2 linked regions of the Anolis sagrei genome follow. The protein of the gene in region 1 purifies or fractionates together with the protein of each later gene. This does not show direct contact. Links are inferred from orthologs where the notes say so. Each region holds a gene or a part of one and is shown on either strand. Other genes may lie near its edges. The genes, in order: TESK1 and RABEPK.

Evidence for each region.
Region 2: the proteins of TESK1 (region 1) and RABEPK purify together in Homo sapiens (affinity purification with mass spectrometry; 3 studies listed by BioGRID and IntAct, with this or other methods). This does not show direct contact. The link is inferred for Anolis sagrei from reciprocal best matches to the Homo sapiens genes TESK1 and RABEPK.

Annotation. Positions count from the first base shown.
Region 1 is NC_090022.1:303,263,819-303,271,318, forward strand, and holds the start of TESK1 (dual specificity testis-specific protein kinase 1), read right to left. Parts: upstream 3,228-7,500; 5' UTR 3,124-3,227; coding exon 2,848-3,123; intron 1-2,847. UniProt on the Homo sapiens protein: Dual specificity protein kinase activity catalyzing autophosphorylation and phosphorylation of exogenous substrates on both serine/threonine and tyrosine residues.
Region 2 is NC_090031.1:6,409,734-6,416,887, forward strand, and holds the start of RABEPK (rab9 effector protein with kelch motifs), read left to right. Parts: upstream 1-4,116; 5' UTR 4,117-4,173; coding exon 4,174-4,436; intron 4,437-4,851; coding exon 4,852-5,000; intron 5,001-5,230; coding exon 5,231-5,383; intron 5,384-6,846; coding exon 6,847-7,008; intron 7,009-7,154. Other genes in the region: PPP6C (serine/threonine-protein phosphatase 6 catalytic subunit), read right to left, coding at 332-411, 541-682, 952-1,017, 2,731-2,826, 3,410-3,484. UniProt on the Homo sapiens protein: Rab9 effector required for endosome to trans-Golgi network (TGN) transport.

The sequences.
Region 1 (7,500 bases):
GGATGCCAAGCATCTTGGTACGCTTGTGGGAGTGGATCCAGGCAGGCCTGTCAGTTGGTCAAGGAAAGCACCTGAAAAGGCCTGGCCAAGACTACATCACAAAAGCTGTTGTTATTGTTGTTACTGTATATATTTATTTATTTATTTTATTTACTATTTTTGTATACCTCTGTATCTCAAGCCCGAGGGCGACTCACAGCGGTTTCCAGACAGCAAACAACAAAGACAATAAAAACAGCAGCAATCAATATACCATAACAGTTAAATTACACATTTCCATTACTAGCTAATAAACCATCATCAATACACAGTTATCACAAATCCCATCCCCGATCGCCTCATCATCCAAGCGTGATCCAAATTCGTCGTCCATTGTTCCGTTCCTATGTTCAAATTACCAGAATTGCACTGAGTTACTCAAACGCCTGCACAAACATCCAGGTCTTCAACTTTCTACGGAATGTCATGAGAGATGGTGCCAGCCTAACATCTACAGGAAGGGTGTTCCACAGCCGAGGAGCCACCACCGAGAAGGCCCTATCTCTTGTCCCCGCCAACCGTGCTTGAGAGGCTGGCAGGATCGAGAGCAGGGCCTCCCCGGAAGATCTCAAACTCCGGGTGGGTTGTGTGCGTGTGTCAGGAGCGACTTGTGAAACTGCAAGTCACTTCTGGTGTGAGATAATTGGCTGTCTGCAAGGACGTTGCCCAGGCGACATTGCCCGGATGTTCTGATGTTTTCCCATCCTTGCAGGAGGTACAAAGTGGCTCACAACATTACAAAACAGAGTGTGGAGGGAGAGGGGGCAAAGGTCAGAGAGGCCGAAGTGAGTCCCCTGCTCCTCCCATTGTCCCTGCCTGCCTACTGCAGTGGCCCTGTGGGCAGGGAAAAGGCCAGCTAGCCTGTGGCTGGAAAGGGCACGGGGTCACGGGGAATTAGCTTAAGCCAGGCATTAAGGGCCGCATTAAGGGCCGTCTGGCTGGCCGCCGTCTGCACTGATTGTGCGGCTGCAGGAAGGAGGCCGGAAGCCCCTCTGATCCGCCAGCTGCGCCCCTTCCTAGATTTGGAGGACCCAAAGACAGCAGTGGTCATCTCAAGGCCGGACTCCTGCAATGCAAAGCTGTTCAGAAACTCCAGTTGGTTCAAAACAGAGCAGCCAGATTGGTTATGGGAACGTCCAGGAGTGAGCACACGTCAATTATGATAGTAAATCTCACTCCACCGACTGCCCATGAGTTTCTAGGCAAAGTACAAAGTGTTCTCTTGGACTTTTAAACCCCTGCAGAGTTTGGACTCCGTTTCCCTACTACAGGGTGATGGCCTTTCCCTGCACAATCTGTCCGAACATATCTCCCTCTTTGAATCACTGCAGAGTTTAAGATCACCTGGGGAGGCCCTGCTCTCAGTCTCGCCTTCTTTGCAGGCACAATTGGCGGAGACGATAGCCTTCCTTCCTTTTCAGTGGTGGCCCCTCGGCTATAGAACTCCCTCCCCAGGGATATTAGAACAGCCCCCTCCCTCCTGACCTTCCACAAGAGTGAAAACATGGCTTTGTGACCAAGCCTTTAGAGAACTAGTGCTATAGACTTGGAACCATGTGCAATGACCATTGGAATGGCCCAAATGACACTCGTGGATGACGTGTTTAACTCTGAATATATTGTTTTTAATGTACTTTTAAATTCTATTTTAATATTTATTTAAGTGTACATTGTGTTTTAAGGCATTGAATTGCTCCCTGGATGTAAAGCCACCTTGAGTCCACTCTGGGCTGAGAAAGAAAGGCAAGGGAGATATGTAAATAAATGTCATAAATCTATATAAATAAAAATGTAATGTTCCTTTGTGGGATTAACAGAACTCAAAAATCACTGGACAAATTGACACCAAATTTGGACACAAGACACCTCTCAGGTCAATGAGTGAACATCACTCATAAAAACACTGGAAAAAACAGCAGAAGGGATTTAAAAAGCCAAAAAATAAAAATACATTACAACGTATGTGCAAAACCACATATATACAGATATGCGCAAATATATACACACACAAAACACATATTACACAGACTGGGCCACAGCAACTCATGGCTGTGGCCCAGTCTGTGTAATAAATGTTAGGATGGATGGGGCGGTTCTGGCCTCCAAAGGGAGAGAGCTCCAGAGTCGAGGGGCCACCACCGAGAAGGCCCTGTCCCTCATCCCCACCAGGCGCGCTTGCGAGGCCGGTGGGACCGAGAGCAGGGCCTCTCCAGATGATCTTAGTAATCTTGATGGTCCGTAGGGGAGAATACGTTCGGAGAGGTAAACAGGGCCGGAGTCGTTTAGGGCTTAATTATCATTATCTTTCAGAGGGAGGGCCTGGACCAACTTGGGCCTTCCCTACTTCCCTCAGAGTGTTTTGGACTCCAACTCCCAGCATGCCTCGCAGCCTCAGGCCCTTTCCTGAGGGAGGGAGGGTCTCCTAAGTCATTGGGGTGCTTTGCAGGGTCCTAATTAATGGGCTGAATTGGAGGAGGAGGTGATGATAACAACAACAACAACAACAACAACAACAACAACAACGGAGAAGGGGGACCTTAGCCCTTGACCCCTGACCCTCCAGAGCCACGCCCAGGCTTTAAATACACAGGTAAATAAACCAGGCCTGGGCCAACTTGGGCCTTCCCTCCCTATTTCCCTCAGAGTGTTTTGGACTCCAACTCCCAGCATGCCTCGCGGACTCAGGCCCTTTCCTAAGGAAAGGGCCTGAGTCCGCGAGGCATGCTGGGAGTTGGAGTCCAAAACACTCTGAGGGAAATAGGGAAGGCCTGAGGCCTATTTCGGGCCACCACGCCCCCCTTCCCTCACCTTGAAGACCTCTGAGAAGAACCCGGCGCCGATCTTTTCGCAGAAGAAGTCGTCCAGGCGGGCCAGCGTGGAGACGGCGCTGCGCAGGGCCCGGTACGACGAGGGGCGAGGCCGCGACGAGGAGGACGAAGGAGGAGGGGGCTCCGAGGGGCCTTCCTCACGAGGAGGGGGAGCCGGAGCCGGTCTCCTCGGCGGCGGCGCCACCCCCCGAGGTCCCTCCATGGCCCTAAGAGGGGGAGAACGAGGCGGAGACCCTCCCGGCGCGCCCCCGCGCATCCCCGCTGAGGGAAACAGCCAGGCAGGCAGGCCCTCCTCCTTCGCCTCCTCTCTCCCGCCTTCCTTCTGAGGCCTCACAAGAAGGGGCGGGGCTTCTACGTCACTAGGGGGTGGGGACAGCTCTCCCTCCGCCTTCTCAGATCCTAGGGGGCGGGGCATGAAGGAGATTGGCCTCTACGTCATGAAGGGGGCGGGGATATCGCCTTCACCTATCTCTCCCTCCGCCTCAGAAAAAGGGGCGGGGCCAAATAGGGGGCGGAGCGTCTACGTCACGAGGGGGCGGGGACATCTCTCCCTCCTCCTCAGCTCCTGAGGGGCGGGGCGTGAAGGAGATTGGCCTCCACGTCATGAAGGGGGCGGGGATATCGCCTTAATCTATCTCTCCCTCCGCCTCAACAGAAGGAGCGGGGATACACAGGGGGCGGAGCTTCTACGTCACGAGGGGGCGGTGCCATCGCCTTAACCCCAGCTGCGCCTGGCCTTCTATCTCTCTCTCCTCCTTCTCAGCTCCTAAGGGGCGGGGCGTCAAGGAGATTGGCCTCTACGTCATGAAGGGGGCGGGGACACCGCCTTAACCTATCTCTCCCTCCGCCTCAGAAGAAGGGGCGGGGCCACACAGGGGGAGGAGCTTCTACGTCACTAGGGGGCGGGGCCATCGTCTTAACCCCAGCTGCGCCTGGACTTCCATCTCTCCCTCCTCCTTCTCAGCTTCTAAGGGGCGGGGCGTGAAGGGGGCGGGGCCTCTACGTCATGAAGGGGCGGTGCCATCGCCTTAACCCCAGCTGCGCCTGGGCTTCTATCTCTCTCTCCTCCTTCTCAGCTCCTAAGGGGCGAGGCGTGAAGGGGGCGGGGGCTTCTACGTCACGAAGGGGGCGGGACCAAAGCCTTAACCTATCTCTCTCTCTCTTTCTCCTCTCTGCGCAGCTGCTGAGAGTAAAGGGCGGGGCGTGAAGGGGGCGGGGACTTCAACGTCATGAAGGGGGCGGGGACATCGCCTTAAGCCGTCTCTCCCTCCTCCCTGCGCAACTTGGGCCTTTCTTCCCTCAGAGTGTTTTGGACTCCAACTCCCAGCATACCTCGCGGCCTCAGGCCCTTTCCTTTTCCCCCTCAGCCCCTCAAGCAGGGCGGGGCGTGAAGGAGATGGGGCTTCTACGTCACGAAGGGGGCGGGGCCAAAGCCTTTAATCCTCCGCCAGGCTCTACCGAGGCACCCCGACTAGGGGGCGGGGCGTGAAGGAGGCGGGGCCACACGTCATGAAGGGGGCGGGGACATCGCCTCAACCTATCTCTCTCTCTTCTCTCTGCGCAACTCCTGAGAGGAAGGGGCGGGGAATGAAGGAGGCGGGGACTTCTACGTCACGAAAGGGGCGGGGACAGCGCTTTACCGCCTGCGCCAGACATGCCTCCAGAAGCGGGGGCGGTGAAGGAGGCGGGGCAACGGTGAGGGCGGGGCTATTACGTCACGAGGGGGCGGGGCCAGAGCATTTACCTCGGCGCCTGTCCTCCCATTTCTCCTCCTGAGATTAAGGGGCGGGGCGTGAAGGAGGCGGGGCCTCTGCGTCACGAGGGGGCGGGGCCAGAGCCTTTCCCCCTGCGGCAGGGTGCTCCCGAGCACAGCGACGAAGGGGGCGGGGCGAGGCGAAGAAAGGGGCGGGGCAATCACCTTAACCCCTCCTCCCGGCGCTTGGCCTTCCATCTTTTCTAAGAGACTAAGGGGCGGGGCGGTGAAGGAGGCGGGGCTCTACGTCACGAAGGGGGCGGGGCCGGCACTTTAACGCCTGCGCCAGATAGGCCAGCAGAAGCAGGAGGCGGTGGAGAGGGCGGGGCCTAGTGCAGCGCCCCAGACTAAGGGGCGGGGCGAATCGGGGGGCGTGGCCTTGATGTCACGGGGGGGCGTGGCCAAGGCCTGAACTCCTGCGCCAGGCCCAGCCAAGCTCCTCAGACTGAGGGGCGGGGCCAGCTTGTTAACCCCTGCCAGGGAGGGGGCGTGGCCTCGGCCTCCTTCCGGCCTTCCTTCATTCCCTCCTTCCGGTCCGTTCTCTTCAGCGTCGTGTGGAGGGATGATCCCGGTAGATGTAGTTCCGCCAAGGCGGCCCCTTTCCCAGTGACTCGGGGGAGCTGCTGCTTCTCCTCCTCAAGGAGGGAAGTAGCCTGGGTTATCAACTAAGTGTTGTTGTTATTATTATTATTATCATAATTAGCGATACTTTGTATCCCAGCCAGACTGCCCCCCCCTTTTGGACCCTCAGAGCAACACCCACAAGGCAAGGGAACTCCAGACAGGAAACAATCAGGGCCAGCTAACCACTCCCAGCAAAGGATTCCCCCAGGCAGGAAGCAGCCAGGCCTCGCAACTGCAAGGACATTCCATGCTGATCATTTATGTCTTCATCATGTTATTTTGCATTTGTTTATCTCCTATTCTGTTGTCTCATGTATTTTATTTTGTTGTATTGTAATTCCAGGCTTGGCCTCATGTTAGCCATCCCGAGTCCCCTTTGAGAACGTGGGGGCAGGGGGGTGTACAAATAAAGTTTATTAATCACCTCTCAACAAAAGTTTGCTCCAGGCACTGCCAGGCCTTCAAATGCTAATCAAGGTGGTCAGCTGAAACATTCACACCTAGCTCCAGCAGACAAGAGTCCTTTGTCCCACCCTGGTCATCATTCCATAGATATATAAACCCATTTTCCTAGTTCCAACAGACCTCACTCCCTCTGAGGATGCTTGCCATAGATGCAGGCGAAACGTCAGGAGGAAATGCCTCTAGACCATGGCCATATAGCCTGAAAAAACCTACAAGGACATCTAATCACCTCTCAACAAAAGATTGCTCCGGGCACTGTCAGGCCATTATATGCTAATCAAGGTGATCAGTTGAAACACTCCCACCTAGCTCCAGCAGACAAGAGTCCTTTGTCCCACCCTGGTCATCATTCCACAGATATATAAACCCATTGTCCTAGTTCCAACAGACCTCACTCTCGCTGAGGATGCTTATTTATTTTTTTTATTTATTTTACTATACTTGTATACCGCAGTTTCTCAGCCTAACTGGCAACTCAACGCGGTTTAGATGCAGGCGAAAGGTCAGGAGAGAATGCCTCTAGATGCAGGCGAAACGTCAGGAGAGAATGCCTCTAGACCATGGCCATATAGCCTGAAAAAACCTACAACAAGGACATTATCACCTCTCAACAAAAGATTGCTCCAGGCACAGTCAGGCCATCGTATGCTAATCAAGGTGGTCAGTTGAAGCATAGGTTCTTTTGATTGCAATTTCCAGTGTGAGAAGGTAGATCAGATTACAGAAGAACATTTAGACCAAGAATGACATTGGGCAGACAGACATACAGACTCTGTGCAACTACATTGGATTCACAATTACATTGGTTAACAAACAAACAAAGGGGAATTACGTTTTCACATAACATTCACACACATGTACACGCATTCATCCAATTCTGGGCACCACAATTCAAGAGAGATATCGAGAAGCTGGAATGTGTCCAGAGGAGAGCGACTAAAATGATCAAGGGTCTGGAGAACAAGCCCTATGAGGAGCGGCTTAGGGAACTGGGCATGTTTAGCCTGAAGAAGAGAAGGCTGAGAGGAGATATGATGAGTGCCATGTATAATAAATATGTGAGAGGAAGCCACAGGGAGGAGGGAGCAGATCAAGGGTCTGGAGAACAAGCCCCATGAGGAGCGGCTTAAGGAGCTGGGCATGTTTAGCCTGAAGAAGAGAAGGCTGAGAGGAGATATGATAGCCACGTATACATATGTGAGAGGAAGCCACAGGGAGGAGGGAGCAAGCTTGTTTTCTGCTTCCTTGGAGACTAGGACGCGGAACAATGGCTTCAAACTACAAGAGAGGAGATTCCATCTGAACATGAGGAATACTTCCTGACTGTGAGAGCCGTTCAGCAGTGGAACTCTCTGCCCCGGAGGGAGTGTGGTGGAGGCTCCTTCTTTGGAAGCTTTTAAGCAGAGGCTGGATGGCCATCTGTCAGGGGTGATTTGAATGCAATATTCCTGTTTCTTGGCAGAATGGGGTGGGACTGGATGATGGCCCAGGAGGTCTCTTCCAACTCTTTGATTCTAGGATTCTATGATTCTACATGCATCCAAATATGACCCTATCCTCTTCTCCCTCCTTGGAGAAGCACCTGTTAGGCCAGACCTTGCTTCCCTGCAGTCTTTCCAATACATAGTTCCAAAACTCCCATAACGCCAAAACTTCAAAATGGCGAGATGACAAAACTTCTTTCCCTAAGAACAATGCCAAGTGCTAGATCTTTGTTTTCCCTCCAGCAGAAGCTGACTCCCTGCACAAAATCCAAGACTCCGAAAGCGCACTTCTTCGCTCTTCCCTTGA
Region 2 (7,154 bases), on another chromosome or scaffold:
AGCAAAGTGTTTCAATAAATTGTGGTGGTTTTACTGTTGGATTAGGACGCCTTTGAGGCCAGGGCTCACATTCCCACTCATGTAATGGAAACCCATTGACTGGCCATGGGGAAATCACACTCTCTCAGCCTCAAAGGAAAACCACAGCGAACCCTGAGTCCCTCCTCGGGGGTTGAGAAGGGTGGGATAGAAATATTGGAAATAAATAAATGAACCCCTTCTGAACTGATCTTGCAATATATCCATGACATCTTTGCCTTAAGAGCTGCAATAAGTTAGAAAGCACTTGAGAGCAGCATATACCAAAATAATTTAAAAAAAAAAAACTTACTGCTGCTACTGTGAGCATGTCAAACACTTTGGTGCAATACCGCCAAGCGTTAGCGTTGCCATATTTGGTTTGGCACTCATCTAATGCAGAGAGAAGGAAAAATTAAAATGGTTTGTCATAATTTCAAAGTCAGTTACAGAAAGCATGTAGCTCTTCTACACTGAAATAAAGTCAATTCATGTCAATGTTTATGTTGATTGCAAACTTACCATAAAATCCATACACTTGTGTTATCTGCCTACTTTCGTGATTTCCCCGAAGGAGTGTGATGCGATCGGGCCATTTCGCTTTCAGGGCCAGAAGGTAAGTAAACGTCTCAAGGCTGTAATAGCCCCTGTCTACAAAATCTCCCTGCAATTAAAACAACAGTTTAGTGCACACCGTCCAGTAACTATAACATAGAAAGCGAAATGTAAATTTAAAAAATGATTATTGACAAGGATCTAATTGTTTATTTCCTTCCCCACTAGCCCTCATTAGGCTACAAACAAACAAACAACATCATAAAGAGGCGAGACACGCTGAGTAGCAAAACAAAAGAAACAGCTACCTTGAAGATTAAGTTGCAATGTTATGACATTAGTAAATGTATACATTTTCAGATTTCTATTTATACACACCATAAATATGTAGTTTGTGTCGGGAACTTGGCCTCCAGTTCTGAACAATTCACATAAATCATAAAACTGAAAGGCAAAAAAAGAAGACAATGTTAAAGATTATATCAAAGCAGAGGGTGCTGGTTGGTATTTATGAATTTTAATAGTGTTTATTGCTGTATTGTTTTGAATTATTAATTGTTATTACTCCTATATTTAATTATATTGTAATGTTTATTAATGGGGCCAAAGTGGCACAATGGGTTAAACCCTTGTGCTGCTAAATTGTTGACCTAAAGGTTGGCAGTTCGAATTCATGGAATGGGGTGAGCTCTTGCTGTTAGCCCTAGCTCCTGTCAACTTAGCACTTCAAAAACATACAAAGGTAAATAGATAAATAAGTACTGCTACAGCAGGAAAAGACAGCAGTCTTGCAGGCCACATGACCAGGAGGTGACAACACAGGCTCCTCGGCTTGCAAATAGAGAACACCTCCCCCAGAGGCAGAACAGAGCACTACACCTCCAGAAACCGGAAATGAGAAAGGACAATCCTTTGCCATGTCTGTGTTTGTGTCTCTTATTGTATGGGACTGTAAGGCATTGAACGTTGGCCAATGTCTGCTGTAAATGCTGTTATCTGCTCTTGAGTCCCCTCGGGGAGATGGGTGGAATATAAATAAAGTGCATCATCATCATTTTTAATAATGTAATGCAATATAATACTACTAATAATATTATTATAATAATTATATATTTTCTATTACATGTAATATTATTTATTATTTATTTATTTATTTATTTATTTGCTTTATTTCTATACCGCATTTTTCAGCCCAAACAGGCGACTCAATGGTACAATTACATGGTACAATTATCAAACAGTGTCAGTGCAATTAAAACATAACAATGCAAAAAGGAGGATCAACAGCATCAATCCACAACAATTAACAATCAAACAAGACAAATCAACAAAACAAACATAACATAACGCCTCAGTTGAATCAGATCCGTTCTCATAATCATTCTGCCATTCCTATGTTCCATTTACCGTCTTCCTTTGATTGGTTGCACTGCTTAACCAAACGCTTGTTCATAAAGCCAGGTCTTAACCATTCTCCGAAACGTCAGCAACGAAGGTGCCTGTCTGATGTTTGCCGGTAAGGCATTCCATAGCCGAGGGGCCACCACTGAGAAGGCCCTGTCTCTCGTCCCCGCCAAGCGAGCCTGTGACGTAGGCGGGATCGAGAGCAGGGCCTCCCCAGACGATCTTAATGTTCTATTATTAATAATATTACAATATAATGGTATAGTACAATATAGTAATAAATAATACTGATATTGTACTATGCTAATAACATAATATATTGTATGTATATATATCTTGTAAGCTGCTCTGAGTCCCCTTCGGGGTTAGAAGGACGGCATATAAATGTCATTAATAATAATAATAATAATAATAATAATAATAATAATATACATTAGTACACAATAAACAAGATCACCATGCTGGCTTTTGTACTGGAACACATGTCAGACACTTCTCAAGCGTCTAAGACTGTGTGATGTATGAACAAATAATGAGTGCATATCTGAGTAGGGCAGCCGTTTGCAGCTGACAGATGGTAATTTTGCCAGCGCTGATTGTTTTTAAATGCAGGTCAAGGTCTTTAGGCACTGCACCCAGTGTACCGATCACGTTAAGCTATAGCAACTATTGCTTAGAAAGCCAAAACCACTATATGGAAGAGGAAAATACCATCAAATTCTCCACAGTATGTAAATGCGTGAGAAATCTCACCTGTCCATGGATGTCGCCACAGACTGTAACTGGGGTAGAAACCGGCTGCACATTTGATTCTTCTAAGAGCAGGTCACACACGTAGTCACATAAGCGCTAGAACGAGGACATCGTTTTAATACAAGAGCTCTCCATATTGTGAACAACATAATTGCAAATAAAAACACAGGAACATTTCTGGCTAGTAATGGCTGAAATGACCACATTGTGCCAACAGAAGTAAAACCATACCATCTCCAAGCCCAGTTCGAAGTGCTTCTTGTAACCTTTAAAGCTTGAAACACCTCAACTGAAAGATCATTTCTTGCTCCCTCTTCCTTGTAACATCCTTTCACATATTTGTACATGGCCCTCGTGTCCAAAACCCTCGTGTCTCCTCTCAACCCCTCAATAGAATAGATCAAAGGATGGATAGAATAGAACAGATCAATGGAATGAATTTAGTGTTTATATACAATACACACAGTGCATGACTTCTCTATATCTCCATCTAAACCTGGCCTGGGTCAACTTAAGCCTTCCCTCCAGGTGTTTTGGACTTCAATTCCCACAATTCCTAACAGCCTACCGGCTGTTAGGAATTGTGGGAGTTGGAGTCCAAAACACCTGGAGGGAAGGCCCAACTTGGCCCAGGCCTAGTGTAATAGGCTTCGGGCCCTCTTCCTCCTCCAGGCCTCACCTTGAGGTCGTTCTCGGGCAGGTATTTGCAGAGCCGTGCGATCTCCACATACTTATCCAAGTCCAGCGGCGCCATTTTGGAAAGCGGAAGGAAGAAGGGGCATAGGAGAGTCAAGGGACAGGAAGCGAGAGCGGCCACTTCCGGATTGTGTCAGAGGACATCCGCTCCTGAGCGTCCCGGCCTCTGCGCAGGCGCAGAAGGCGCCCTCTCCTCCTCTGTCGGCTCTACGCATGCGCCGAAGAAGCCCTCTTTCCTCTCAAAGGCCCTTTCCTTCTCCCGCTTTGTGCCCAGACTCTGCGCAGGCGCAGAAGACTCCCTCTCCGCCTCCGAAGGGCCTCCCCTTCGCCGCTTCTGCGCAGGCGCAGAAGACACCCTCTCCGTTTGCGAAGGGGCTTCCCTTTGTATTCCGGCCCTTTACGCATGCGCAGAGGAAGCCCTCTTTCCTCTCAGAGGGTTTGTGCCCAGCTTCTGCGCAGGCGCGGAAGACACCTCCGTTTTCCGATGGCGCTTCCCTTTGTATTTCCTCCCTGTACGCATGCGCAGAGGAAGCCCTCTTTCCACTCAGAGGGTTTGTGCCCAGCTTCTGCGCAGGCTCAGCAGACACCCTCTCCACCTCCGAAGGGCCTCCCCTTCGCAGGCGCAGAAGACACCCTTCCGCTTCCCTTTGTCGCTCTATATTTCCGCCCTTTGCGCATGCGCAGAAAACCCTCTTTCTTCTCAATGGTCCTTTTCGTTCGCGCTTCTTTTCGTTCGCGTCTCTACGCATGCGCGGAAACATTCCTTCCGTCTCCGAAGGCCTTTTCGGTCTCTCTGTGTTCGGCTTCCGCGCATGCGCAGAGGCGTTTGGATTGGTTCTTGGCGAAAAAGGTGGCAGGTCGACTGCAGCAGCCTGGAGGCGGGGCTTAAAATCTCCTAGCAACGACGAAGAAGGCGTGGCGACAGCACCAAACCCCGCCCCCTTTGCATCAATGTCGCCAGCGGCGCTGGAAGAGCTGAAGCCTGGGAGCAAACCGGAAGTAGCCAGCTGGTGCGCTGTAAACACGGGTCTGCGGTGCACGTGTGAATGCAGATGGGGGAATGAATGCGTGTTTTAATGAAATATGTTTTAATGTTTTAATGAAATATGTTTGTCTCACCAAAGTCCTAGAATATAGGGCCAGGGTGGTTCAAGTGGTATGAAACTGGGTTAACTCAGCAGTGTAGATAAGGAATGGGTCAACTTCGGCTCTCCCTCCAGGTGTTTTGGACTTCAATACCCACAATTCGCTGTTAGGAATTGTGGGAATTGAAGTCCAGAACACCTGGAGGGAGGGCCGAAGTTGACCCATTCCAGATATAGATATTCCGAGCTGTGGGTGAAATGTCAGGAGAGAATGCTTCTGGAACATGGCCTGCAAAACTCACAGCAACCCATTAAATTATTATTATTATTCTATTTGTAGGTACTCCCTGGTTCCCTTTGGGGAGGGCCCTTGCCCCCGCGTCGGCCATGTCTCGTTTCACCTCCCGAACAACAAGAAAGGCACCGTCCTCATCGTCGGAGGGGCCGACCCGAACGGCAGCTTCTCCGACTCCTATACCCTTGACCTCGGTGAGGGATCAAACCGCATTAACTCCCCGGTGTAGACGTTTTTTGTTTATGTATTTGGTTTCATTCTGCTGTAATATGTTGTCCGGGCTTGGCCCCATGTAAGCTGTTTCGAGTCCCCACTGGGGAGATGGTGGCGGGGTACAAATAAAGATTATTATTATTATTATTATTATTATTATTATTATTACTTGGACCAAGTGGTGCTTTCTCACCTGTTTGTCTCCCAACAGATGCGCACAAGTGGAGCGCCCCAAAGTGGTCAGGCCTTTTGCCCCGATACGAACAGGCTGCCTTCATTCCCGAAAGCCAGCCCACAAAGCTCTGGGTCTTCGGAGGAGCCAGCGAAGGTGGCAACCGGAATTGCCTGCAGGTCTTGGACCTTCGTAAGTATTTCTTGTTTTCTACGAAGGTTGAATGAAAAGTAATGTCTCCACCTTCGTAACTTCTCAATAGATGGCAGTACTGGTATGTGGCAGGTACTGGCTTGTCCAGTAGACTCTCCTCTACAGTTCCATTTTGGCGGGAAGCCTTAGCATTGAACTGTTGTGTTGTTAAAGTGCAAAGTATGGAACCCTGCGCAGATGGTCAGTCAATACGACTTAAGCAATGTGCAGTCATTGAATTCTTGACAGCAGAAGATGTCACCTCAACACCAGGGGCTCCATTTCTAATAAATAATAATAATAATTTATTTCTTACCTCCCTCTCCTTTAAACTTACTCACCCAACAACGCACAGTACTCACATCAACACAACCACCACAAGCAGCTTGCATTCTCTGATGAATCTCTTTTGGGGTGACACCTTCTGCTGTCAAGGATTCAATGACTGTGGCTGGCATGACTGCATGAAACACCATTACCTTCCCGCCGCATATTTTCAAACTGCTAGGTCAGCAGGAACTAGGGCTAACAGTGGGAGCTTCCCCAGCTCCCCCAATTCAAACCACCTACCTTTTGGTCAGCAGCTCAGCAGTTTAATCTGCTGTGACACCAGGGGCTCCATTTCTAATAAATAATAATAATTTATTTCTTACCTCCCTCTCCTCAAGGTGGGGCACAACATTGTTGAATGCATCTGTAAAAGCAGTATTTAAAAAAAGCTTGTCTTCTGTGCTATGCTAATAATGTAATATATTGTATATACATATAATATTTATATTATATACAATATAATATAATATTTATATTATGATCTAATTCAATATAATACTAATAATATATTATAATTAAATATTGTATATTACATGTAATATTACTAATAATATTATAATATAAAGATATAGTAAAATATAGTAATAAATAATACTGATATTGTACTAGGCTAATAATATAATATATTGTATGTATATATATCATGTAAGCCACTCTGAGTCCCCTTCGGGGTGAGAAGAGCGGTATTTAAATATCATAAATACATAAATAAATAAAAACTGCTTTGGATCATAACTAAGATCCCCATGGGCCTTTTAAGCATATACCTATGATATTGATATATCCTGAGGCAGTGTGGGATATTTGGGGACCCCTCCACCAGCACCAAGTGCCGCTCTAGGCCAGAGTGAAGAGAGTACAATATCAGTATTATATATTACTATATTGTACTATATCATTATATTTTAATATTATTAGTAATATTACATGTAATATAAACTATATAATTAAAATATATTATTAGTATTATTTTATATTACATTATAATATTATAAATATTATATGTATATACAATATTATATTATATTATATTATATTATATTATATTATATTATATTATAATGTGGAAGGACGGCTGTAGTTCCTTCCAAAATCCACTGACCAAACAATGGTTTGTCTGCTTTCCTCCTTAGAGACTGGCACATGGGAGAAGCCGGAGGTAAGCGGGACTCCTCCATCCATTCGGACCTTTCACACGTCCACAGCGGCCATCGGGGACCGTTTGTATGTCTTTGGAGGCGGCGACAAAGGAGCGGACCCTGTTCAAGACCAGCAGCTTCACATATTTGACTCAGGTTAGCTCTTGAGTTTTGGTTCTTGGGAAGTAAAAGAGGTCCCTAGAGTTGGAAGAGATCTATGAGCTTTTAAGTAGAGACTTGTTTATTTTGTCAAAACACATCCTGTGATTTTCGACTGCTTCAAAGTACAGACTGAATGGCAT